Arabidopsis thaliana: one gene and its partners. The protein of the gene in region 2 purifies or fractionates together with the protein of the main gene of each other region. This does not show direct contact. Each region holds a gene or a part of one and is shown on either strand. Other genes may lie near its edges.

Region 1 (7,920 bases), on a different chromosome or scaffold from region 2:
TGTGCAGTGCATTGATCCATGGCTAGGACGGAGTAAATCATGTCCGGTTTGCAAATCCTCAGTTACTTGACAAGGTTTTCAAATTCATCGGAGAATTTGAAAACTACCATTTTACCCTTCCAAACCGGTCGATCTCTGGAATCATTTTGCGGGTAAGTCAAACATTCTTGGCCATCAAATTTGAACTCATTAAACGGGGTTTTACTACCGTTTACGCGCGAGGGATGATTATCTGTGTATCTCTGTGATTATTTTCTCGGGTTTAAATATATCTAGCTAAGAACTTTTTGTAGATTAAGAAAGTTGATACTACCACTTATTCACTTTAGTTTAAACATATACCTTTTAAAATCAATTTAAATGCACAAGGCTTTGTTTAATCGTTTTATTCACTTTACTTGCACGAAGAAGCAAGATACAATCATATTCAAAGAGTAAAACAAACTAAAGAGAAACGACATACATTTCAGTTATTGTTACATATATAACGAATTAGTTTTCTTAAATGACATGCATTGGATTTTAGCTCCTCATCAATGCACATTACGGTTAAACAAATTCTCAGTGACCTCCGCCGCCAATTCCTCCACCAATTTCTTTACCGGCTCCTCCGCCGATTCCTCCAATGGCTCCACCGTCAACTCCTTTACCTGCTCCACCGTCAAATCCTTTTCCGACTCCTCCCTCAATTCCTTTTCCGATTCCTCCCTCAAATCCTTTGCCGACTCCTCCATCAAATCCTTTTCCGGCTCCACCGTCAACTCCTTTGCCAACTCCTCCATCAAATCCTTTCCCGGCTCCACCGTCAACTCCTTTACCGGCTCCACCGTCAACTCCTTTTCCGAAGCCACCGTCAACTCCTTTACCGGCTCCACCTCCGAATCCTCCTCCACCAAATCCACCGCCTATTCCTCCACCAAAGCCTCCAACACTGCCTCCAATCCAACCGCCACCTGCTCCAAAGCCGCCTCCACCGCTGATACCACCACCACCACCTAAGTCGCCGAATTCTTTTTTAAAGCCCTTCTTGTGGAGGAGAGGATGAGGGTGAGGGTGAGGAAACAAGGGCTTCTCATCACCAAACTCTGCTTCTCCCATAGTAAAATCTGTGACCAAAGCAAACACCAAAACAAACACACGCACTTTACCGGCGATTAGACCCATTGTTAGTGGAAACTTAAAATGTTTGTAGTTAAAATATTAGAAGCTATTGGAAGAGGATGTTTTGATACGAAATTGCTTCTTGCATGAGCAGTATATATATAGACTTAGAGAGAGATCGTGATAGCATAAGCACTTTTCGTCAATGTGCATGGATTCAACCTGTACAACAACTAGGATATAATTGCTGTTGAGTAAAAACAGTTAAAGATGTTTCACCGGTCACTGGACAAGTTTTATGTTTCATTGTCTGCCCAACTGCCATATTGATCTCATCCAACACAAAGAGAAAAATATGATGCAAATATAGTTGAAAAATTGAAGAACATATGACACCAATTATTATATACAGTTCCTTGAATTATATTAATCATACATTCATATCAATTATATTAAAATTTAATTTGAAGGTTGTCCAGGTTTCAGAGGGCAATAACTAAAAATGAAAATGTTTCTGCATGTCTATTCATAATTTCATATTAAGTGAAAACTCGTATGGTCTAAGAGAAAATATTTACTAGAAAATAATTCTGACTTGATAAAAGATGTAGTCGCTTTATAGGTTGGAGGACAGGCCATGTCAATCTATGGAATATTGAACTATCTATATAAACCCTAAAATGTGATTTCATTTATTTGTGAGCTTTAGCTTTTTAGGTGTCATCAATCAATGATGTAAACTAGAAACTCATATGCTATACTTCCAAACAAACCAATAAAGTTTTTATTATGGGCCGCTAGATTGGTCCATTAACACTATAAGATATATAGTCTGGCCCATCATTAGACCCAATTTTGTATTCCGACTTTATGATTTTGTTTGGATCCATCATATATATTTGGGGTGAAAGTGTAATCTTATTAAACATTTAGGGGTATTGGTAAAAATTACTTGACTTGTTGGGTAAGTATCTTAATATTCGATAAGTCTAGAATTTCGATTTTGATTAGACTTGTGAAAAAGTGAACTCAGAAATTGTGCTCGCCCAAAGTAGTTCGGTTCTTGTGTTCCTCCGTCTGATCAACTCTTCTTCTCCACCTCTAGGTTTCTAATTTTCCGATTAGGATAATGGCCGCCGCCATGGTTAGTTCCGCCGGTGGGTTACTGGCAATGCTCAACGAACCCCATCCTTCCTTGAAACTTCACGCTCTCTCATATCTCATCAGATTGGTTGACCAATTTTGGCCCGAGATCTCCACTAGTGTCCCAATCATGTATTCAATTCTCTCTTCTCTTTTTTTTAATTGTTTCCCTTCGTGAGGCTATTCTGTTTGCTTACTGGGAGTAAAGCTTATGGGATTTGGATGAGTTTTAGCACTCTTGATATTTCTTAGTTAGGGTATTACATTCCAAGTTTTTCCACTCTTGTGTCGAGTTAGATTTGAATGCGTTAATTCACAAGTGACAAACTTTATTGAATTGCTTTACTTAATTCTGTTGATTCTGAATAGAACCATTGTTATCTGGGCTAAGGACGCTCCCTTACCGTCATGATGCGGAAAATTTGTTCTTTTGAAAGTTGTAGAGACTCTACTTTTGCTTGAGATCTTAAACTGTTTTTGTGCTATTCTGAGACCTTTTTTTGATTTTTTTGTAGAGAGAGCTTATACGAAGATGAAGAGTTTGATCAGCATCAAAGACAGCTTGCTGCCTTGTTGGCCTCCAAGGTACAGTTTATCTTTTTATTTAACTTACATGATGACTGGTTTTATATAAATTGTTAGTGGAGATACGAGTGCCAGTTAAACGGATACCTTAAAAGCTGGTAGATTGCTACAGAAGTTCAGAGCTTGAATTTCCTGTAATCAAGTTATGTTATTGTATTATAAGACTTGTTTTCTAACGTTTATGTTAATCTTGTTTTATCTCAGGTTTTCTATTACTTGGGTGAGCTTAACGATTCCTTGTCCTATGCCCTTGGAGCTGGATCCTTGTTTGATGTGTCAGAGGATTCTGATTATATTCATACTCTTCTATGTAAGGATTTTGAAGTTTGCTACTTTCTTCTCTTCTACTTTTTTTATCCAATTCTGTGACAGTAGACACTAGCTCGGTTATCATTCTTAATAGGCGTAAATTCAAAATCATTCCAACCTGATTAAATGGAAGATTAAGAAAATAGTTTATACGATATATTTTCTAACTAATAAGACTTGAACGTCCATCTTTCTTTTAATAAGATTGTGCTGCTAGAAAGTTACGCAAAGACATGATAAGATAGTGATCTTACAGTTACTAACTGTTTAATGTTGAATGTTTTACTCATGGATGCTTCTGTTTTCCTTATCAGCCAAAGCAATAGATGAGTATGCTATTCTCAGATCAAAGGCAGTCGAGTCAAGTGAGGTGGTGGAAATTGACCCGAGATTGGTGGCCATTGTTGAACGAATGCTAGACAAGTATGGGATGCAGAATTTATTTATTTATGTCTGTCTACAAGTTTTTCGTTTTTCCTTACATGGTTTTCTGTTTTATAGATGTATCACTGACGGAAAGTATCAACAAGCCATGGGCATTGCTATAGAATGCCGGAGATTGGATAAGTTGGAGGAAGCGATCATAAAGAGTGAGAATGTGCAGGGAACATTATCTTACTGCATCAATGTTTCCCACTCTTTTGTTAATCAAAGAGAATATAGACATGAGGTGAGTCTGGTGGCCACAAAACTGGATTTTAATAGATGTATTATGTTAATGATACTATGAGCTCATCTTCTTTATTCTTTTCTTACAAATATAATGGTTATAATTCATTGCATTCTTTATGTCAACTCAAAACATTTTTGTAGGGGCTGTTAATTTGTAAATGATAACATCCTTACTTCGTTCTTGCAGGTTCTTCGGTTACTTGTTAATGTTTACCAGAAGCTGGCTTCTCCTGATTATTTGAGCATTTGCCAATGCCTTATGTTCTTGGATGAACCACAAGGCGTTGCAAGCATATTGGAGAAGCTTCTTCGTTCAGAGAACAAAGATGATGCTTTATTGGCTTTCCAAATCTCTTTCGATCTTGTACAGAATGAGCACCAGGCATTCCTCATGAGTGTTAGAGATCGCCTTCCAGCGCCCAAGACCCGTCCTGTAGAAGCAATTCAAGCTGTTGAAACCTCTACTGCTCAGAATGAGAACACTGCAGGGGATGTTCAGATGGCGGATGAAACTCCATCTCAGACAATTGTGCATGAAACAGATCCTGTTGACGCTGTGTACGCTGAGAGGTTAACAAAGGCTAAGGGGATTTTATCTGGAGAGACATCAATACAACTGACACTCCAGTTTCTTTACAGCCATAACAAGTGAGGCAGTTTATTTACCTTTTTTGATATCTCGAAGGATATTTCATTCTTAAGTCGTTTCTTCCACATAGTAAAATTTACAGCAATGGCCATTGTTTCTTTGTAGATCGGACCTGCTGATCCTGAAGACAATCAAACAATCTGTTGAGATGCGGAACAGTGTATGTCACAGTGCTACAATTTATGCTAATGCTATAATGCATGCTGGAACGACAGTTGACACTTTTCTCAGGGAGAATTTGGTAAAATTTATTTTCTCTACCACTTTTTAACTTGTTTCAACGTCAACTATGTGGCATATTATTTAATCTTCTTTTCTTTTCCATTCATGTTTGAATTGTCAGGATTGGCTAAGCAGGGCCACCAATTGGGCCAAGTTTAGTGCTACAGCAGGATTAGGTGTTATTCATAGGGGTCACTTGCAACAGGGCAGGTCACTGATGGCCCCATACTTGCCTCAGGGCGGAGCAGGTGGTGGCGGGAGTCCTTATTCCGAAGGGGGTGCTTTATATGCTCTCGGCCTTATTCATGCAAACCATGGTGAGGGAATCAAGCAATTTCTTCGTGATAGTCTACGCAGCACTAGTGTTGAGGTGATTTGCTATATCTTTCTTCTGGATAGTCTTCCGTTATATCACCAAAAAGATAGTCTTTTGTTTAGAATGATTTTCATTAAAAAAATATGGTTGCAGGTTATTCAACACGGAGCTTGTTTAGGTCTTGGTTTGGCTGCTCTTGGGACAGCTGATGAAGACATATATGATGATATCAAAAGTGTGCTTTACACTGACAGTGCTGTTGCTGGTGAAGCTGCCGGCATAAGCATGGGTCTATTGTTGGTTGGAACAGCAACTGATAAGGCAAGTGAGATGCTCGCTTATGCTCACGAGACTCAGCATGAGAAGATAATAAGGTAACTAAAGTCTGGAATATATTTTTGGCTATGTGTGTGGGTGCATGGTAATTTATTTCAATGTTTTAAGTAACCAACATCTGGTTTTGTGTTTAGGGGATTGGCTCTAGGAATAGCTCTCACAGTATATGGAAGAGAAGAGGGAGCAGATACTTTGATTGAGCAGATGACTAGAGATCAGGATCCTATCATCCGTTATGGTGGAATGTATGCACTCGCATTGGCTTACAGTGGAACTGCAAACAACAAAGCCATCCGCCAACTTCTTCACTTTGCTGTGTCTGATGTCAGTGACGATGTTAGGAGGACTGCTGTTCTTGCACTTGGATTTGTCTTATACTCTGATCCAGAGCAGGTAACTCCATATTCTTTTTGTCTCATTAACTTCTTGACACTATATTCCATTTCTTTAGTGCCTTTAGGGCTCTTGTGCTCGCTTACAGTCATTAACTGGTGGCTCAATATTTAAACTGTAGACTCCCCGTATTGTATCCCTTCTTTCCGAGTCGTACAATCCACATGTCCGCTATGGCGCAGCTCTTGCAGTTGGCATCTCTTGTGCAGGCACTGGTCTGAGTGAGGCGATATCTTTGTTGGAGCCACTTACATCAGATGTTGTAGACTTTGTTCGTCAAGGTGCTCTGATTGCCATGGCCATGGTGATGGTCCAAATTAGTGAAGCAAGCGATTCTCGCGTTGGAGCATTTAGGTTAGTGAAGTTCCGATCTCTTCATCAATTGGAGGGAGTGAGAATAGTTCTCTTTTGAAGACTAAAATTTGTCTGTGCTTTTGCAGGCGTCAACTTGAGAAGATAATACTTGACAAGCATGAAGATACAATGAGCAAGATGGGAGCAATTTTGGCTTCAGGTATTCTTGATGCTGGTGGAAGGAATGTGACGATAAGACTGCTGTCTAAGACAAAACATGACAAAGTCACTGCAGTCATTGGCCTTACTGTCTTCAGCCAGTTTTGGTATTGGTACCCATTGATTTACTTCATAAGCTTGGCGTTTTCACCCACCGCCTTCATCGGTTTGAACTACGATCTCAAAGTCCCAAAGTTTGAATTCATGTCACACGCAAAACCATCGTTGTTTGAGTATCCAAAACCAACTACGGTTGCTACTGCCAACACCGCTGCCAAATTACCAACTGCTGTGCTCTCAACCTCAGCCAAAGCCAAAGCTAAGGCTAAGAAAGAAGCAGAGCAGAAAGCTAAAGCTGAAAACTCTGGCAATGAAGCTGGAAAAGCCAATGCAGCGTCAGATGAGAAGGAAGCAGAGTCTATGCAGGTAAAATGCAAATCTAATTCCCAACATCTTCGTATCTGTTTGAGTTGAAAAATTGCTCTTAACATTTTTTACTTTGGGAAATGCTGTTCCTATGATTAATCTCAAGGTCATGATCAATTTATCATCAGTCTTTTGACTTTTGATCAAGTATATTTTCTCTATGTTACTATGCCAGGTTGATAGCACAGCTACAACGGTGGAGAAGAAGGTTGAGCCAGAAGCAACGTTTGAGATTCTAGTCAATCCTGCGCGTGTAGTCCCTTCACAGGAGAAATACATCAAATTGATGGAGGATAGCCGATATGTACCGATGAAGCTAGCTCCATCAGGGTTTGTCCTTCTCAGAGACTTGCGTCCGCATGAGCCTGAAGTTCTGTCTCTGACCGATGCACCGACTTCAACAGCATCCCCTGCAGTGGGTGCAGAAGCTGCAGGACAAGCCCAACAAGCAGCCACCACCTCTGCTATGGCCATAGATGACGAGCCACAACCTCCGCAGGCCTTTGAATACGCTTCTCCATGATTTTGTAATTTGATCAGTTGCCATTTTGTTTTCTGTTAATTAAACAGAGAAACAGTTCTCCTTTTTTGAACTTGGAGACTAGTACTTATTGCATTGGTTCCGACTTGTTCTTGTGTTAGTAGTTTCTTTAAATCTATATATTACTAAGAGCAGAAATGGTAAACAACTATCATTTTTCCCTAAGTAAAGATTAATGCTATATACCAAAAAAAAAGAAAAAAAGTAAAGGTTAATGCTTGTATGATTTTTCTAGGGGAAATTAGATAAAAATCATTGCAAAAATTTAACCACATTGTTCAGTCGGGGAAAAATAAAAATCTCAGGTTGTCGATTTTGGGTCAAAATAGTTTGTTTATGCTAGTAGGCCTTTTTTAATTTATGTGGGTCAATTATATTACGCTCCTTGTAGCCCAATGGGCAGAATAAAAGTGAGCCCATGAGTGAGGCGCGTGGTAGGCGAACTGTCAAATGAAAATATCTTACCCACTCGCATACTAAGCGCGTATAAGACTGGGAAAACTGCCGTTTTTCGCTAAAATTAATAAACTGGGCGCGTGTGGGCGTTTTTTTACTAATAAAAACGTAACTGGCCTTCTATCTGATTAACCTTGTCCGGCCTTCTTTAGTGAGCCCATTTTTGTTTTAGTTTTATGTTTATAGACCTTATAAAATATAAAGCCCATATACAGTTGTTCCAACCGCAGCAACAACTGTATCCAATTAAGGTTAGAC
Region 2 (7,202 bases):
TGTTTTTGCTCTATTATCTTGAGTAAATTGAGTTTTGTTTTGTTGTTGTTGCCATTTTCATTGAACAGGTTGAGAAGATTGTTGTTGAAAATATCCTTGCTTTTGATGAGGTTTTTTGGATAAGACTAGCAGCTAGGTCGGATACTTGTAAATCAGAAGATGACAAGGCATGAGTTTATATTGTTTATGTCAATGATAGAGCAGACTTTTGATCTCTTTTGTTTCCGCTAATGCTTTGAATACGGTTTGTTTCTTACAGAAGGACTATGAGGAGTTAGCTACAACTGTGATGACTATAGTTGACTGTGTTGTGAATAAGACTCGGGTTTCTCTTTCTTCTGTGGTTTTATTGTCTCTTCTTCTTCAGCGTTTACTTAAACAGGGATAACTGAGAGTTCATTATATCCCTTTAGGAAAAGATAGAGACGTCTACTGATATTCTGAAAGGGATTTTAAGACCTGCTATAGATGGAGTGGAAGAGATTTCATGGCCGCCAAGAGATCCTGAAGCCATCAATCTAATGAAAAAGGTTTATACTAGTTGTTCTTCACTTTCTACTACATCTACACATTTTTTATATATACAACCTATATTCAGAAGGGTTATCTGGTCTTAGATTCTGTGATTTGATATCGTCATGGTTACTGAGATCAGTGTATTAACAGGAAATTATACAACGGGAAAAAGAAGGGCAATTAGATGAAGGATTTCTTTCAGAAGTTAATGCTCAGCTCCGGCAGGTAAGTGCTACAATTTGTTTTGTTTCACTTCTGAGGTCTTTCCTTTACAGTGAATAGATGTATTCTTTTGAATGTTTGAGGCTGACGATTGTTTTCAGGCAAAAGAAGATAAAGACAAACCAGGGTTATTGGCTATGCTGCAAAAAGTTCTTCAACTCTATTCTGCTACTATCCTCTCCAAGCGTAGCTACGCAAAGAAAGGTGATTTGCCCAATTTTGAAAACTATGCCAAGTCACTCTAAACCATTTTCTACGAACATAATCTCATCCACTATAGCTATTGTCACAGGGAACGAAGTTGTAAAAGCCGAGCATTTTCTTGAAACTCTGATCAAAGGTCTGTTCTGCAACCACTTTTCCATGTACTATAGACCCCAGCCAGACTTCACATCGGTTTATTATGTGTGTTTCAGCTCCTGAGGAACAATGGAACAAGCTTTTCGTAGACGGGTTAACAATCGGAAAAGGAGATATCACACCTGATGAGCTATCTGCTGTTATCAAGAAACGAATCGAGCGCACACTGATTCGAACTGTAAGTAACATACCATGACACATTTGCTTGCATTGTTATTATTCTCTTCAGGAGTGAATGCGAGGCTAACCGGGTTTTGGGTTGGGGTTTTAACCAGATATTGTTTTCTAAAATTCATCATTCTAACCACAACTATTCTGATCATACCAGGAAGGGGGTTCATACCAGCAGCGAATTTTGACCGAGTATCTCAAAGGAATCGAGTCCAGGGCTAATGAAATTATGAAATTACTCCAGGGTTAATGTCGTAAATCATGTATTTATCTATACATTTTTGTGTAATATCAGTTCAATAACCCCAATTAATATATTGTTTTCTCTCATGTAATAATTTTTTGATTGAGCATTTGAAGTGTTATCTGATTTAAAAATATGAAGCTCTGTAGTCAAAATTTTACAGATTTTAATTATCTTGGAATAAAAAATGTAAAGTTGATGCTTCCATATAAAATAAAAGTAAAAATGAGTAATTCATGCCAATTAAATTAGCGAGACGCAAATTGGAGACAGAGATAACTGAGCGGAGGGATTCAGATCTATACGACGAAACTGAATCTCACCGTCTTCTTCTTCTTCTTCTTCTTCTAGACGATCCTTGTGTTTCTCTTGCTCTCGCATCCACGCTTCTCTGGTAATGCTACTGATCGTCACCGTGAAGCTGAGCTTGATCGCTTCCCCTTGTGAACTGATCTGATCTGAGGTGAATCTCTATTTCTTCTCCTTCTTCATTGTACGAATCTCGATTTCTCGGATCTTGCTGCTTCTTATCGTTAGATCTGTTTTCAATTTCACGTGGATTACGTTTTTTTTCTTCCTTTTGCGGGTTTTTCGATTTCTTTGAACTGATCTTTCTCCATGATTTTCATTCTCTGTTGATCTGGTTTTTGTAGAGTTGTTTCTGTTTCGTAATCTGTGAATATGCTGACCAAGTTCGAGACCAAGAGTAACCGAGTTAAGGGTCTGAGTTTCCACCCTAAACGACCATGGATTCTCGCGAGTTTACACAGTGGTGTGATCCAGCTCTGGGATTATCGTATGGGTACTTTGATCGACAGATTTGATGAGCACGAAGGACCTGTTCGTGGTGTTCATTTCCACAACTCACAGCCTTTATTCGTCTCTGGAGGTATGCTTTGTTATTGGTAGGCCAATAAGTCTGTTTATTACACTTTCATGATCGATAAATCCTGATCTGCTTAAGTATTAACCCTTAGCTAGTTAGCTTCCTCGGTTCCTAGATCTAGCTTGGTCTCCCAACCTTTGTTTAATGGATGACTTAAGCTCTTATAGTCCCAGCTGGAGTAAATAATTTGTGTTTAAGTTACTTATATAACATATTGGATGATTTGGACCTAGTGCATTGAAACCAGATCTTATGGTACATGTTGCATAGTATTTTATTTGAACATAAGTAAGTACTCAAACAACTAGAAATGCAAATGGCTTGGATTCTTCTTCGTTACAGTTATAATGCTCTTACAGAACATTACTCATATGTAGTTGATGGCATTGATTACATTGGATGTTGCAGGGGATGATTACAAGATTAAAGTTTGGAACTACAAAACTCACAGGTGTCTTTTCACTCTTCTCGGGCATCTTGATTATATCCGCACTGTCCAATTTCACCACGAAAACCCATGGATTGTGAGTGCTAGTGACGATCAGACTATCCGCATTTGGAACTGGCAGTCTAGGACTTGTATTTCCGTGTTGACTGGTCACAATCATTATGTTATGTGTGCTTCTTTCCATCCAAAGGAAGATCTTGTTGTATCAGCATCACTGGATCAGACTGTCCGTGTTTGGGACATTGGTGCTCTTAAGAAGAAGTCAGCATCTCCTGCTGATGACCTCATGCGATTTAGTCAGATGAATTCTGATCTTTTTGGAGGGGTTGACGCTATAGTTAAGTACGTCCTTGAAGGTCATGATAGAGGAGTCAACTGGGCTTCTTTTCATCCCACACTTCCTCTCATTGTCTCTGGTGCCGATGACCGCCAAGTAAAGCTGTGGCGTATGAATGGTATTTCTTATGGATATCTGTCTTCTTCTTCACAGAAAGTTAATTTTATGAATCATTGAGGTACTGATGCGTTTCAATTTTGTTGCAGAAACTAAAGCTTGGGAGGTGGATACATTGCGAGGTCATATGAATAACGTTTCATCCGTTATGTTCCATGCAAAACAGGACATTATCGTGTCAAACTCTGAGGATAAAAGCATCCGTGTCTGGGATGCTACCAAGCGAACTGGAATCCAAACTTTTCGTCGTGAGCATGACCGATTCTGGATTCTTGCAGTTCACCCTGAGATTAATCTACTTGCAGCAGGACATGACAATGGTATGATTGTTTTCAAACTTGAGAGAGAACGTCCTGCATTTGCTTTGAGTGGTGATTCGTTATTCTATGCCAAAGATAGATTTCTGCGGTACTATGAATATTCAACTCAAAAAGATTCCCAAGTTATTCCTATACGGCGTCCTGGTACCCCAAGCTTGAATCAAAGTCCGAGGACTTTATCCTACAGTCCGACAGAAAATGCAGTCTTAATCTGCTCAGATCTGGATGGTGGTTCTTACGAGTTGTACATCATACCGAAAGATAGCGTTGGCAGGAGTGATGTTGTACAAGATGCAAAGAGGGGGACAGGGGGTTCTGCGGTGTTCATTGCTCGAAATCGGTTTGCTGTTCTGGAGAAAAGCACCAGCCAGGTGTTAGTGAAGAATCTAAAGAATGAGGTGGTTAAAAAGAGTTCTTTACCTATTCCCACAGATGCTATCTTTTATGCTGGGACTGGAAATTTGCTTTGTAGATCTGAGGATAAAGTGGTTATATTTGACCTTCAACAAAGGCTTGTTCTTGGTGAGCTTCAGACACCGTTTGTTAGGTACGTTGTTTGGTCTAACGATATGGAGAGTGTTGCTTTGCTCAGCAAACATACTATCATTATTGCGAGCAAAAAACTTGTCCTACAGTGCACGCTTCATGAGACAATACGTGTGAAAAGTGGAGCATGGGACGACAATGGTGTCTTCATTTACACTACTCTGAACCACATCAAGTACTGTCTGCCTAATGGAGATAGTGGAATCATCAGAACCCTGGATGTCCCAATCTACATCACCAAGGTGTCTGGAAATACAATCTTTTGCTTGGACCGGGATGGGAAAAACAGGGCTATCACCATTAATGCAACCGAATACATTTTCAAGCTTGCACTACTGAGAAAGAAATATGATCATGTCATGAGCATGATAAAGAACTCCCAGCTATGTGGACAGGCTATGATCGCTTATCTTCAGCAGAAAGGATTTCCTGAAGTTGCCCTACACTTTGTTGAAGACGAGAGGATCCGATTCAACTTGGCTCTTGAAAGTGGCAACATCAGTGTAGCTGTTGCATCCGCTACAGAGATTAATGAGAAAGACCACTGGTATAGACTCGGAGTGGAAGCTCTTCGTCAAGGAAATTCTAGAATTGTTGAGTTTGCGTACCAGCAGACAAAGAACTTTGAGAGGTTATCTTTTCTATATCTCATTACTGGCAATTTAGACAAGCTGTCAAAGTTGATGAAGATTGCAGAGGTGAAGAACAATGTAATGGGTCAGTTTCACAATGCACTCTACCTAGGAGATGTTAAAGAGCGTGTTAAGATACTAGAGAATGCTGGTCATTTGCCTCTAGCTTATATCACAGCTTCGGTTCATGGTTTAACTGACATTGCTGAGCGACTAGCAATTGAGCTAGGAGACAATGTGCCTTCATTGCCTGAAGGGAAGACTCCATCGCTTTTAATGCCACCGTCTCCCATCATGTGTGGTGGTGATTGGCCTCTACTGAGAGTGATGAAAGGAATATTTGAAGGAGGACTTGAGAGTGCAAACAGAGGGGCTGTTGATGAAGAAGAAGAAGATGTTGAAGGCGACTGGGGTGAGGGACTTGACAAATTCGATGTTGATGGAATGGAGAACACAGACATCGAAGCCATATTGGATGGTGCAGAAGCAGGTGAAGAAGAAGACGACGAGGAAGGTGGATGGGGACTTGACTTGGATCTTCCACCAGAGCTTGACACTCCTAAAGCCTCTGCTAACGCACGTTCATCTACTTTTGTGACACCTCCTCAAGGTATGCCCGTAAGTCAGATTTGGAGTCAGAAATCTTCCCTTGCTGCTGAGCAGGCTGCAGCAGGAAGCTTCGACACTGCAATGCGTTTGCTCCACAGGCAGCTTGGCATTAAGAACTTTGCGCCTTTGAAATCGATGTTTCTTGATCTGTTCAGTGGGAGCCATAGCTATCTGCGTGCCTTTTCTTCATCTCCTGTGGTTCCTCTTGCCATTGAGCGTGGATGGAGTGAGTCTTCCAGTCCTAACGTCCGTGGCCCGCCAGCTCTTGTTTTTGATTTCTCTCAGCTTGAAGCAAAGCTCAAATCCGGCTACAAAGCTACAACAGCTGGGAAACTATCTGAGGCTCTTCGTGTCTTCCTCTCTATTCTCCAAACCATCCCATTGGTGGTAGTTGAGTCAAGAAGAGAAGTAGATGAGGTTAAGGAACTGGTCATCATTGTTAAAGAATATGTCCTCGGTCTTCAATTGGAGCTCAAGAGGAGAGAGATGAAAGATGATCCGGTGAGGCAGCAAGAGCTCGCTGCTTACTTCACTCACTGTAAACTTCAAACACCTCACCTACGGCTCGCGTACTTCAGTGCAATGACCGTCTGCTACAAGTCAAAGAACATGGCTACTGCTGCTCACTTCGCCAGAAGTTTGTTGGATACAAACCCAACTATTGAGAGCCAGGCCAGGACGGCTAGACAAGTTATGCAAGCAGCTGAACGCAACATGACAGATGCAACAACACTCAACTACGACTTTAGAAACCCGTTTGTGATATGCGGGTCCACTTATGTGCCAATCTACAAAGGACAGAAAGACGTTGCATGTCCTTACTGCACTGCCCGGTTTGTACCAAGCCAGGAAGGTAACATTTGCTCGGTCTGTGATCTTGCAGTCATTGGCGCAGACGCATCTGGCTTGCTATGCTCTGCCTCTCAAGTCCGGTGAACAAGTCAGAATGATTATGTGCTTCAATCGTGAGGTAAGTACGAGATGCTCTTTTATGGAAGAAGAGTGTTGAGCTTTTGGTGTTTGTGAATTTTCCGCTGCAACTTCTATTACTCTTTAAAGTCTTTATGTTGTTTCTTATCTTAGTAACAAACGCATGAGAACTTTATCTTCTTGCTTTATCTCTTTTTGTTTGATTTTATTTTTACAGTCTCAGGACATTTCATTTAGGCTTATCGGATTTTAAACTCGATTGAGAAATATAGACGTAATATTTTATAAATTTTCAGAATTGTATCCATTTTCTTTTGGTGAATTTTCAGTTGATGCCTAATTTACTATTCCAAATACTTATAAAATTATCGAAAAAGTTAGAAATATCCAATAAATGTGGTTAGTTAGATGAACCGTTAAGACTGGTAGATAAGCTCACGGACAAACTCTCGAAATGACTCGATCACAGCTGCCTCTTTACTTCTTTTCTGTTTTTTAATTTGTCCGGTCGCTTGAATTTGAGTGTGAGAGAATTTTCCACACATTTGTCTTCCAAAACTATCAAGATCATGTAGCTGCTTCATGGATCCTCAAAGCAACTACATGAACGCTTCCTAGCGAAACATGACCGTTGATAGTCATGCCAGTCATGTCATGGAACCCCCTCCGGCACACGAATGATGGAGTTTTGTCCACTGTCAAACTGCATTCTAAAAAGCTTTCCAACTTCTGGATAAACAGAATCCTATGATGAACACCATCCATATCAATCGACGAATCTCAAGTTCTCGTCCAAAACATTAAACATTCGTGATCTGGTCCAAAACACTAAAGACTAAAAATTCACTTGATTAGAGTTAAACT
Region 3 (5,309 bases), on a different chromosome or scaffold from region 2:
ATTATCGTACGACAACTGATCACACGCTACATGTTCTCTAGCTTAAATTTGCAACATATATAATTGAAACATCACTCAACCCCACAGGCTACAACATCCCACATTTAATCAAGAAATCAATCAGTTCACAATTACTGATGAAATTACGCAGCAAGTAACCCTAGCTAACTAGGATAAAAGAAAACGATCAATTCTCGGGAAAATTCAGTCTCTCCCGAATCCCAAAAACAAAAGCATGCATTTCGTAATAAACAACGCACTGATTCTGTTTGATTTTTTCTACCTTTATCCTACACAACACTAGTTAAACGACACAAAACTCAAAACACGAACACAGTTACTTAATCTATTCCCCTTATTCTTTCTTTTTGATTATAATAGCATATCGGAAAAAAATCTACAAACATTCAAAAAAACATCATCTACTCATCTATATATTCAAACCTTGGTCCATTCACATCACGAAGTCCATCGCCTATAATCATATAACATATCCAAAACCCTAAAACGCAAACACTAAGATAACTATTTCTTGAAATTAATAATGTCGTCGAGAGGATTCAACATTAAAGCTAGAGGATTATGTAATAACAACAACGGAGGAGGAGGAACGGGGGCGAAGTGTGGACGGTGGAATCCAACGGTGGAGCAAGTGAAGCTTCTGACAGATCTGTTCAAGGCGGGACTGCGAACACCGAGCACGGACCAGATTCAGAAGATCTCTATGGAGCTGAGTTTCTACGGTAAGATTGAGAGCAAGAACGTGTTCTATTGGTTCCAAAACCATAAAGCTAGAGAGAGACAAAAGTGCCGGAAAATCTCCACCGTCAAGTTTGATCATCGTCAAGATACAGATCTTTCTAAGCCTCGCCGAGACAACGTACGTCGTCATCAACTACCAGCGAAAGGTTAATCAAGATCTCTTTCTAGATTGTTTTATAATCACATTTTACAGTATATATTATCAGTTTATCACTAAGACGCTAATAATGTGTCTTGGTTTCTTATAAATATTTTTGAAGTTTGTAAAGTAGAAGAGAAAATGATAGAGACGTTGCAACTCTTCCCATTATCGAAAGTTGAGAGAGTGAGAGCAAACGTTACTGCTGCGAGCCACAACGAATACACACGAGAGCAAGCATATACGACGGCGTTTTCTACATTCTCAACATGTGGGGCTGAGATGGAACATTCGCCGTTGGATCTCCGATTAAGCTTTCTATGAACGGATTTGATATTAACGTACAACTCTAGTGGTGACGTTGCTAAGAAATAAAGACATGATGATCACATTTATTTAGATCTAGCTAGATTTTGACAAATTTCCCTTGTAACAATATCAACCTAATAATATCGTTGCTACATTTTTTTTCATTAGCTTCTTCTCTTCACTTATTGCCTGTTCTGTTCTGTGGCCTACCCGTGAAATGAGTACTTACGATTTAGGGTTATAACATTACCATAGTGGAAGGGATGATATTTCTTTTTGTATCACATTTATGATTTACACTTTTGAAAGTCTCCACAACTTAATTTGTCATTATTTTATTTTATTTTCTCCTCTACAATTCATATTTTCAGCACTCGTTTGAAAAATTACTTCAAAATATTTGATAAAATAAGAAATAAAATCCTATTTAATTATCCACCGTCTTAATAAATTTTCGAGAAATGTATATTGGAAAATTGCCCAATAAATGACGTGATCAGGCCCATCATATTGGGCTTAACAAAAGAAAAGCCCATTATAGGGAAATAAAATAAAACGACCATATTAGAAGCAATTTAGTGCAAAGTGGTTTTTCCTGGAGAAGAAGCAAACTCTCAAGCTCCGTCGGGAAAAAAAGGAAAACCAGATCGGAAAGTTCACGTTTTTCAAATCTTCTCCGGAGAAATCAGATTACTTGATTCTTCAAACAATGGATGTGATTAAGACGCAACAGATTTCAGCAAGGACGATCGAGAAAGTGGTTGTTCATCCACTAGTCTTGCTTAGTATCGTCGACCATTACAATCGCGTCGCTAAGGATTCAAGCAAGCGTGTCGTCGGTGTTCTTCTGGGGAGCAGCTCTCGTGGTGTTGTTGATGTCACCAACAGCTATGCAGGTATGCCTTATTTATCCTTTTTCCTCTAGTACTCTTGGATCCCAGATCTCAGATTCTGTTGAGGTCTCTAAACTGAAACTTGAATTGAGTGGTTATTCATACCTGGGTTCTAGGCAGATGTGTATAATAACACCATTTAGGTTTTTTTTGTGGCTGTTCTGTTCCGGAATTGACCTCTTCTAGAGTTGATGTTTACTTCAGTTAAATCACGTTCTCGCTAGGGTTTAAGATTCAATCGAGCCCCCGTCGAGAAAGAGATTGTTTTAGGTTGATTTAGTTGCATTTAAGTTTGCAGAGGTGCTTGCTTATCTATGGACACTGTCACTAGAAACCTCTTTAATAGATGGATGTTGTTTACATATGAATTCGTGTTAACATGTTGACATCTTGAATTGTAGTGCCCTTTGAGGAGGATGACAAAGACCCAAGCATCTGGTTTCTTGATCACAACTACCATGAGTCAATGTTCCACATGTTCAAGAGAATTAATGGTATTTTCTCAGGAAACTGATGCTTATACTGTTTATGACATTGTAGAAATCCATGCTTTTAACACTACCTACTTGCTTTTCAGCCAAGGAGCATGTTGTAGGTTGGTACAGCACAGGCCCTAAACTTCGAGAGAATGATTTGGATGTTCACGCGTTGTTCAATGGGTTAGTTTCCAGTTTAATCATTCAGATATCAATTGATTGGCCTTTATGGATTGAGGATCTTCTGGTTCTTAAATTGTGATAAAGATTTGTTTTAGGCTGAAATCTGTGTTTCTTTCCCACTTTACGTTTTTTGTGGCTTCGGTTTCATCTCCAATTAAGGTTCACTTTGCTTTTGGTTTTGCAGCTATGTTCCAAATCCAGTCCTGGTCATTATTGATGTCCAGCCTAAAGAACTTGGAATCCCTACCAAAGCATACTATGCAGTGGAGGAGGTTAAGGAGGTAAGATACAAACCCTTCCAAATATTGTCCCTTTTGTAAAGTTGTATGCTTATTATAATCAGATGCTGATTAAACACTTCTTTTTCTCTCCAGAATGCTACTCAGAAAAGCCAGAAAGTTTTCGTTCATGTGTCTACAGAAATTGCTGCTCATGAAGTTGAGGAAATCGGTATGTCCAAAAGGGAAAACAGTTCTTTTGATGATTTCATCATCTCGGTTGAGTTTTAAAGAAATGTGTTTTGTGATTGTTCTGAGGAAGATTTTCTGACACTTACCTGCGTCATTCTTGTTCTTGTACAGGCGTGGAGCATTTGCTCAGGGATGTGAAAGACACAACAATCAGTACCCTCGCGACTGAGGTTCTTGTCTTTACAATACATGAAATTTTCATTATCTTCCCATTAAATGTCTGTTGAAATCATGATGGGGGACTTGTAGGATTTGTATTGATGTTCTTGCAAGGTTACTTATGGACATAATAGTTTTCTGCTCGAGGACATAAATAACTTTATAGTATTTTGCACCAGGTCACTGCAAAACTTACTGCTTTGAAGGGGTTGGATGCACGTCTTCGGGAGATCCGGAGTTATCTTGACCTTGTAATCGAAGGAAAGCTCCCTCTAAACCATGAGATTTTATACCATCTACAGGTTAGAACTATATTTCCGTTTCGTGTTCTGAATTTTACAAATTATGGAGAAACTATTTGACAATGTCCAAACCTATGTGTTTTGCGCTCTTTAAAATATTCTAGTCACTGTCTCTGCTGTTGGTTGATTTCGTCTAATGAAATATATTCTCGTAAAATCGACAGGACGTTTTCAACTTGCTTCCTAACCTGAATGTGAACGAGTTGGTCAAGGCCTTCTCCGGTGAGTTTCTGCTATCATTTTGATATTATATTGGGCTGCTTTCTTAGATCTGCTTCATTAATCTTTACTGTATTTATAATGTGCAGTGAAAACAAATGACATGATGCTCGTTATCTATCTATCATCCCTCATTCGGAGTGTAATTGCGCTCCACAACTTGATCAACAACAAGGTTAGATCTTTACTTTACTCTCTCTCACGGCACACAATAATGTGATTCTGAACTAAATCTTGTGATGATGCTGTGTTTCAGTTACTGAACAAGGAACATGAAAAAGCAGAGGACTCAAAGCCTGTGGCCATACCTGCCACCAGCTAGATCAGGTTTTCTCGTGACTTACTGTAGTCATCATTGCCCGCGATGAAGGCAGCTATTGTGTGTTCTCTTCCCCAAAACAAAGGGTCAAGTCAGGGTGGGGGAACGAACGAGTTTAGTTTGATATCGACATTGTTGAATTCTCTCAGTTGTTCTGATTCAGAATGTATCAAAGAGTCTTTTTTCATTTTATCTTTCAAGTTCGTTAGGCTTAGGCCTCTTTTGAGGGGGTTTTGAATACAAAAGTTCACGTCAATGTGTCGAAATCTCCACAGAGATGGTCTTATCCTATTGAAATTAAGATTTTTTTTTTCACATTTCCCCCCCCCCCCCCCCCCCCCTTCTGTTATACTCTCACATCGTGACCGAGTATACAGCCCCGGTTGAATGTTGTTCGTTTTCCAAAGTCAACATGTTCTTCATGTTTGTCCTTAGTATGAAATTTCTGATTAGAGCCATTGACCACAACAAGGGTGTTACTTATGAATTTGTTTACTAGCAGAACTGAATAATTTGCATATTACCTAGATGTAAAAAGGAAGACTATACATTTTGATGAGCTTTTCTTTAAATTGAAAAGAAACAACAAGAAGAAAAAGTAAAGTGAAAAAGGATTATGGAGGAAAATAAAGTTAATAAATGGCGTAATGTTCGTGAAAAGGATATTTGATGCCAAAAGACAGAAACGAAAACAAGAACGTGCTTTGATACGCATTATGCTTCTTCTTTTTCTAAGTCTACTTCTTTTGAACACCTTCTTTTTCTATTGTGTATTATGTTAATCCTTGTTAAGGATACTCATTTTGCAAATCAATATATTACTGTCCTGTTTTACTTAGATATCTATAAGAAAAAAGTTTCAAAAATCGAAACCGTTATAATTTTGTGTAAACAAAATAAAAATCAAAATAACGTAGCTCACTACGAAAAGTAACAATGTAGTTGTATACTATACAGACGTGACGTAAGCATTCAAGAAGACGACTTTCATATTAGTATGTTAGTTAGTGGTTAGGTCGCATATCCCATTGAGGTGACCAAATCCATAGTGACGAAGTAACCAAAGTGATTAATTTAT
Region 4 (4,857 bases), on a different chromosome or scaffold from region 2:
TAAGAGTATGCTGGAATTTTGACACATTCTTTGGGATTCTTACTGCTGCAACCTGGAATTATGTCTCCTTTCATACCATTATAGTTTATATATGTTTGTCCTTCTCCAAATCCGCTGAACAATGATAATATAATCATTACTGAAACAAAGAAAATGCGGATATGACTCTTTTTGTGTGCAGCCATTGTTTTTTGAGAAAACAAAAACAATGTAATTGAAACTTCTTGATATTTTTCTGTGTTATTATATTTTTGTAGTTTGAATACGTGATTAATTATTAATTTGTGTTTCTTTGATTTATAATGAGAAGGATGATTCTAAAAAAAAGACGGCCAGTGCATAATGTATGTGCTGATAGAGTTTCGTGGCTATTTATATGTCATTTACAGTTTTTTCGGTTAATATGTTCGGTTGGTTTCTAGCATGGCAGCAAATTTATCGGCCACAACAAGACTTTCGTGAATATCTGTGTTGTCGTTAGTGTTTGTTTGTTTCGTTGTTGTAAAAATTGATCTGTTCTGTTGTTTCTTCACTCTGTTCAGTGCTTGATGAATGTGTACGTACGTACATCCATCTACTCTTCAACGTTCACATGTATATTCTAAATTTGAACCGAGCCGAAACCAAGTATATATAAATTTCAATGTTCTTTGTATTAACTTCGATACAAAACCCAAAACTGAACTAAACCGGAACCAAGCCGGTAGAGCTAAACCAATTTAATCTCTTTTCAGGAGAGTTCAGAGATTACTCTTTCACATTTATCTTCCAATATCTTCACTGCTTCGTTGAAAAGAACCTCCGGAGGCTGTGATCCCGTGGACTCAATTGTAACTGCGAAAGATGATAAGAAACTCAATTAGAATCTCTTTCAGTACCATGGAATTGCCAGGTTGAAGGAACTGTGTTTTTCTTTTTCTTTTCTTACATATAAAATGGTTCTTGACACGGCGCAGATCCACTTGGTCCTCCCATTCCACTCCATCTCTTATGCATTCTCTACACAACGAACAATCACGCGGCCGAGCTACTGTTGCCCTCTTCCTACCTGTTTTCCACGTTTGCAAGTCAAATTAATTTGCCGCCAAAGTTCTCAGGTTTCATCAGAATCTCTTATTGTTACTCAAAAGCAAGTAAAGACATTTGAAGGAAACTTGGGAAGGCTTTTACTTCACCTTGGCCCATGTCTTCAATGTCAAAAACTTTCTTGGGGCAGACTTTTACGAGTTCTTCGGCATGTTTACCCTCGAATTCCTTTAGTAGAACCACCTAAGATATTATAAACAAAAAGCATTACCGGAAAAGCCTAGGACGAGTCAAGAAGAAATTAATTAAGTCCTTTTCCCAGAAGGCTTATGGTGAACTTCTCACCTCAGGAAGCATTCGATACCAAGCCGTTGCTACTGGGGACCACTTTGCATGTGTTTTACCAATGCCCTTAACGGCATGAGCCTCAAGCTCGATTTCCTGCAAGAAGAAGATGCAAGTCTTTCATCTCTCAACGGAATTAAGTCCTCAAAAATGTCACAATTAAGGGGAAGAGTATAAATAGAAACAGTACCTGGCCAGGGCCAAGTTTTGCTATCAAGATATCTTTTAAGGTTGGCCTGATAGGATTTTCAGCAAATTCAGGGAAGGAATCTTGGCTATGGTTGAATGAAGTGTAAGTTTTTGGCGTTGTGGTTGAACCTCCAGATTCTTTGATAAGCTCACTTCCATTTGGTAACCATTTCAATTCGCTTGTTAAGACTTCAAGAAATAAAAAAATGATACCTCTCATGAGATCTCGAGCTAACAATAAAACAAAGACTCTTCTTGAGCAAACCAAAGAACATATATTACCTTTACGACGCGGGTCACCTTTTAGACATTTCACATGGAGTTTGAAAACAATGGTGTTCTTTTCATTTGGCTGATCGTTTTCTATGACACAAAGATAAACAACAACAAAACTAAGCGTGACACAAAGAGTTTATATGCTTAATGAGATGGATCACATTCCACAGAATATTTCTTACCAGATAAATATTCAAAGAGTCTCGGATCTGCGGCAATTGGAATAAGACCCAACCTGTGAGCAAGAACTTCGTCTTGAATAACCGATGTGTTGTTTGCTACATACACTTTTTCAATAGCCATTGAAGGAAGCTGTAATCAAAGAAACACTATTAACCAAAGATTCTAATAATCAGAGATTCATCAGAGGTAGTGAGACAGTGGGCAGACCTCAGCTAAGAGGATTCTTCGGAAAGCATTAGCGATTCCTGCATGGACACCGATCATATCGAATACCATATCTGTCTCTGTGAGACTAATCACATCAACTTTGAAATCCTCAGAGAAGTTTTCTAGTCTCACACTGTTGTCCACTCCCATAGAGGAATAGGCACCCGAGAAAGTGATAGCCGTAGGCTACAATAAAACACAAAAAGAAAGGGAAGAACATTAAAGACTTCAAATTTCAAACAATCATCACTCAATATCATTCGGATTTCGACAAACCCACAGTGTAATCTTCTTAAATTGCTAAGACCAAACTCAGTAAATTCACAGCTTTCTACAAGCAAGTTTTAAACTTTACTCTGTAAATCTACACGAAATCGATGAACATAGCAAACCCACATGGGACACACTGAGAAAAGCCAATAAATTTCTAGTTAGCTGAACTTATACATAGCTTAAAAAGAGTGTAAATTTTGATCGAGAATAGTACTTACATGAATATTAGAATCCTTCTTACAGACAACGCGAGTTCGCTGGAGCTCAAGATGCGGAGGAAGTCCGGTAGGAACGTCAGGGAGATCAAATATGTTGAAGTTCTTCGCTTCTCTCTTTTCTTCATCAGTCACAATCCTTGTTACTTCGTTAGTCCCCATCCTTCTCTGCAGCCAAGTTCGATTGTGAGAATCCGAAATCAGGGTTTAAGGAGAAGAGGAAGATGAAAATTGCACGATTTCACTTTTCACTTCAATTTCGTTCTTCAATTTCATAAAACTGGAAAATTAGGGTTTATGGACACGTGTGAATACTAGAAAAAAAAACATCCATTTTTCTAATAGCGGCATGGCTTAAGTCCGAACCGAAGCGGCTGAACCGTCCAACCGGAGTTTGGTTGATTTCTGACTTTTAAAATTTTCGTTACCACCAAACCGAAATTCTAATCTTAAGTCCGAACCAAATCGACATTTTTTTATTTTTTAATTAACCACATATTAGTTAAAAGATAATTATATGATTGGTCGCCGAATATGGAAAAAAAATCTACAAAACAAATTTGAGAAAACAGTAAACGAAAAGAACGAACTAAACAATCTGTCTTATAATTAAACAAATGAGATATATAGAAAATCATGAAACGAGAAATATAACATTCGACATTTTGTTTGATTTTCTACTATATAACTTTTCCAAATATAAGTAGAAATGTCGATTTCTAAACAAACCCGATCTGAATAATCATATTCTCCAAATTTAGTTATGGCAGTTCAAACCCATAATGGTGAAGGTTCTCACTCCAGTATTTTTTTTATTATAGCATACCAAGATAACCAGAAGAATGAGCCAAGAAACTAAACAAAACTAAAACCAAAACTAGTTCCAATCAACTCAAACACGAAAGTAGATAAATAACAAACCACATGTGATTTCAAATTTAGTTTAGTCTAATAAAAAACAAAAAGACTAAACCGGACGACCATACATTGGGTCCCTATCGTAAATTAGCAAACAAATTAGTGTTGCCCATTTTAAAAGTTTGAACTCTTCTTTATTTAAAAAAAGAAGAAGAAGAATTGAACTGGTCAGGAAGAAAAAAATAGAAAAGGAGAAAAAGGACAGAGGGAAAATGGAGAAAAGTAGAGTAAAATGGCGTCACACCAGAGAGAAGGCACAACTCACGGGGAAATCAGCAGAACCAATACCACCGCCACCGGTTACTATTACTATTCTTGTTATCATCATCTCCCAAAAAAAAAATGTTAGTATTATTTTCGAGTCTATTTTTCAAGTTTTTGTTTTGTTTTTAATATCTCGACTTTGCCACCCAACTCCTCCCACTCCTTCACAACTGTGTCCTGTCCTCTGCTGATTTCTCACCTTTCCATCATTCATTTCATTCTTTCTTTTTTCCCATCCGTTTCTTTTATTCTTCTTTCTCCTTAAATTTAAAATCTTTGAATTAAATTATTGGATTTTATTGTTTCAAAGCGTTTCTATCATCAAAACCCATCTTCTTCTTCTTAAGATTCTGAATCATTCATTGATTGATTTAGCTTCTCTTCGACTTCTTAATTTTACAGTTTTTTTTGTTTTTTAAACTTTAATTGATGCAAATAAGCAAACTTGGATCGCTGTGAGCCTGTGATAATGATTTCTTTTAGGTTTGTAGGATCTGAAGGAAGCTACGGTTTATTTTTTTTTATGGGCAATCTCTAACAGGTACAAATCTTCTCTTAGCTTCTCTCTTACAAGATCTTTAGGTTATGTCTTGTTCTTTGGAGTTGCTATCTTTCTTCCATGTTCCAGAGGTTTGCCTTATTTTATCACTTTTGACATAATAATTTATTTTGCCTGTTTTTTGTTACTTGGTTTAATATTCAGATGAATCTTTGACCATGATCTCTAAATTTGGTTCCTAGGCAAGATCAAAGAAAGTTCATCACATAGGAGTTGATCATGAACCATAGTTTCCTCAAAGATCTCAACTTTGTCTCTAGTTGGATTGTAATCTGTATTGCTTAGGACAGTTAAATCTTATTACATCTTGGCTCGTCATGTCAAAAGCTGAAGATATTTGAGCTTTCATATCTTACAACTAATTAGTTTCGTATGTCTACAGGTTTCTTACTGTAATTTTTC

What was found.
Region 1: the proteins of AT2G21390 (region 2) and AT1G04810 fractionate together in Arabidopsis thaliana (co-fractionation; one large-scale study listed by BioGRID). This does not show direct contact.
Region 3: the proteins of AT2G21390 (region 2) and RPN8A fractionate together in Arabidopsis thaliana (co-fractionation; one large-scale study listed by BioGRID). This does not show direct contact.
Region 4: the proteins of AT2G21390 (region 2) and RPAC43 fractionate together in Arabidopsis thaliana (co-fractionation; one large-scale study listed by BioGRID). This does not show direct contact.

Annotation. Positions count from the first base shown.
Region 1 is NC_003070.9:1,348,074-1,355,993, forward strand, and holds AT1G04810 (26S proteasome regulatory complex, non-ATPase subcomplex, Rpn2/Psmd1 subunit), read left to right. Parts: upstream 1-2,006; 5' UTR 2,007-2,230; coding exon 2,231-2,376; intron 2,377-2,759; coding exon 2,760-2,829; intron 2,830-3,033; coding exon 3,034-3,139; intron 3,140-3,452; coding exon 3,453-3,561; intron 3,562-3,639; coding exon 3,640-3,808; intron 3,809-3,997; coding exon 3,998-4,458; intron 4,459-4,564; coding exon 4,565-4,700; intron 4,701-4,802; coding exon 4,803-5,051; intron 5,052-5,150; coding exon 5,151-5,371; intron 5,372-5,467; coding exon 5,468-5,726; intron 5,727-5,847; coding exon 5,848-6,080; intron 6,081-6,166; coding exon 6,167-6,665; intron 6,666-6,840; coding exon 6,841-7,188; 3' UTR 7,189-7,393; downstream 7,394-7,920. Other genes in the region: AT1G04790 (RING/U-box superfamily protein), read left to right, coding at 8-70; AT1G04800 (glycine-rich protein), read right to left, coding at 562-1,164. UniProt on the Arabidopsis thaliana protein: Acts as a regulatory subunit of the 26 proteasome which is involved in the ATP-dependent degradation of ubiquitinated proteins.
Region 2 is NC_003071.7:9,150,234-9,157,435, forward strand, and holds AT2G21390 (Coatomer, alpha subunit), read left to right. Parts: upstream 1-1,706; 5' UTR 1,707-1,976; intron 1,977-2,166; 5' UTR 2,167-2,194; coding exon 2,195-2,402; intron 2,403-2,807; coding exon 2,808-3,302; intron 3,303-3,390; coding exon 3,391-6,344; 3' UTR 6,345-6,673; downstream 6,674-7,202. Other genes in the region: AT2G21385 (uncharacterized protein), read left to right, coding at 69-167, 260-325, 414-530, 667-741, 840-942, 1,031-1,078, 1,155-1,276, 1,427-1,519. UniProt on the Arabidopsis thaliana protein: The coatomer is a cytosolic protein complex that binds to dilysine motifs and reversibly associates with Golgi non-clathrin-coated vesicles, which further mediate biosynthetic protein transport from the ER, via the Golgi up to the trans Golgi network.
Region 3 is NC_003076.8:1,733,943-1,739,251, forward strand, and holds RPN8A (RP non-ATPase subunit 8A), read left to right. Parts: upstream 1-1,787; 5' UTR 1,788-1,919; coding exon 1,920-2,106; intron 2,107-2,504; coding exon 2,505-2,597; intron 2,598-2,680; coding exon 2,681-2,762; intron 2,763-2,946; coding exon 2,947-3,043; intron 3,044-3,136; coding exon 3,137-3,212; intron 3,213-3,343; coding exon 3,344-3,402; intron 3,403-3,570; coding exon 3,571-3,693; intron 3,694-3,857; coding exon 3,858-3,915; intron 3,916-4,001; coding exon 4,002-4,087; intron 4,088-4,168; coding exon 4,169-4,234; 3' UTR 4,235-4,798; downstream 4,799-5,309. Other genes in the region: WOX7 (WUSCHEL related homeobox 7), read left to right, coding at 545-913.
Region 4 is NC_003070.9:22,329,244-22,334,100, reverse strand, and holds RPAC43 (RNA polymerase I subunit 43), read right to left. Parts: upstream 3,208-4,857; 5' UTR 2,877-3,207; coding exon 2,718-2,876; intron 2,633-2,717; exon of another isoform or gene 2,507-2,632; intron 2,413-2,506; coding exon 2,227-2,412; intron 2,149-2,226; coding exon 2,019-2,148; intron 1,924-2,018; coding exon 1,843-1,923; intron 1,750-1,842; coding exon 1,562-1,749; intron 1,468-1,561; coding exon 1,372-1,467; intron 1,270-1,371; coding exon 1,176-1,269; intron 1,049-1,175; coding exon 929-1,048; intron 835-928; coding exon 731-834; 3' UTR 533-730; downstream 1-532. Other genes in the region: RALFL6 (RALF-like 6), read right to left, coding at 1-185.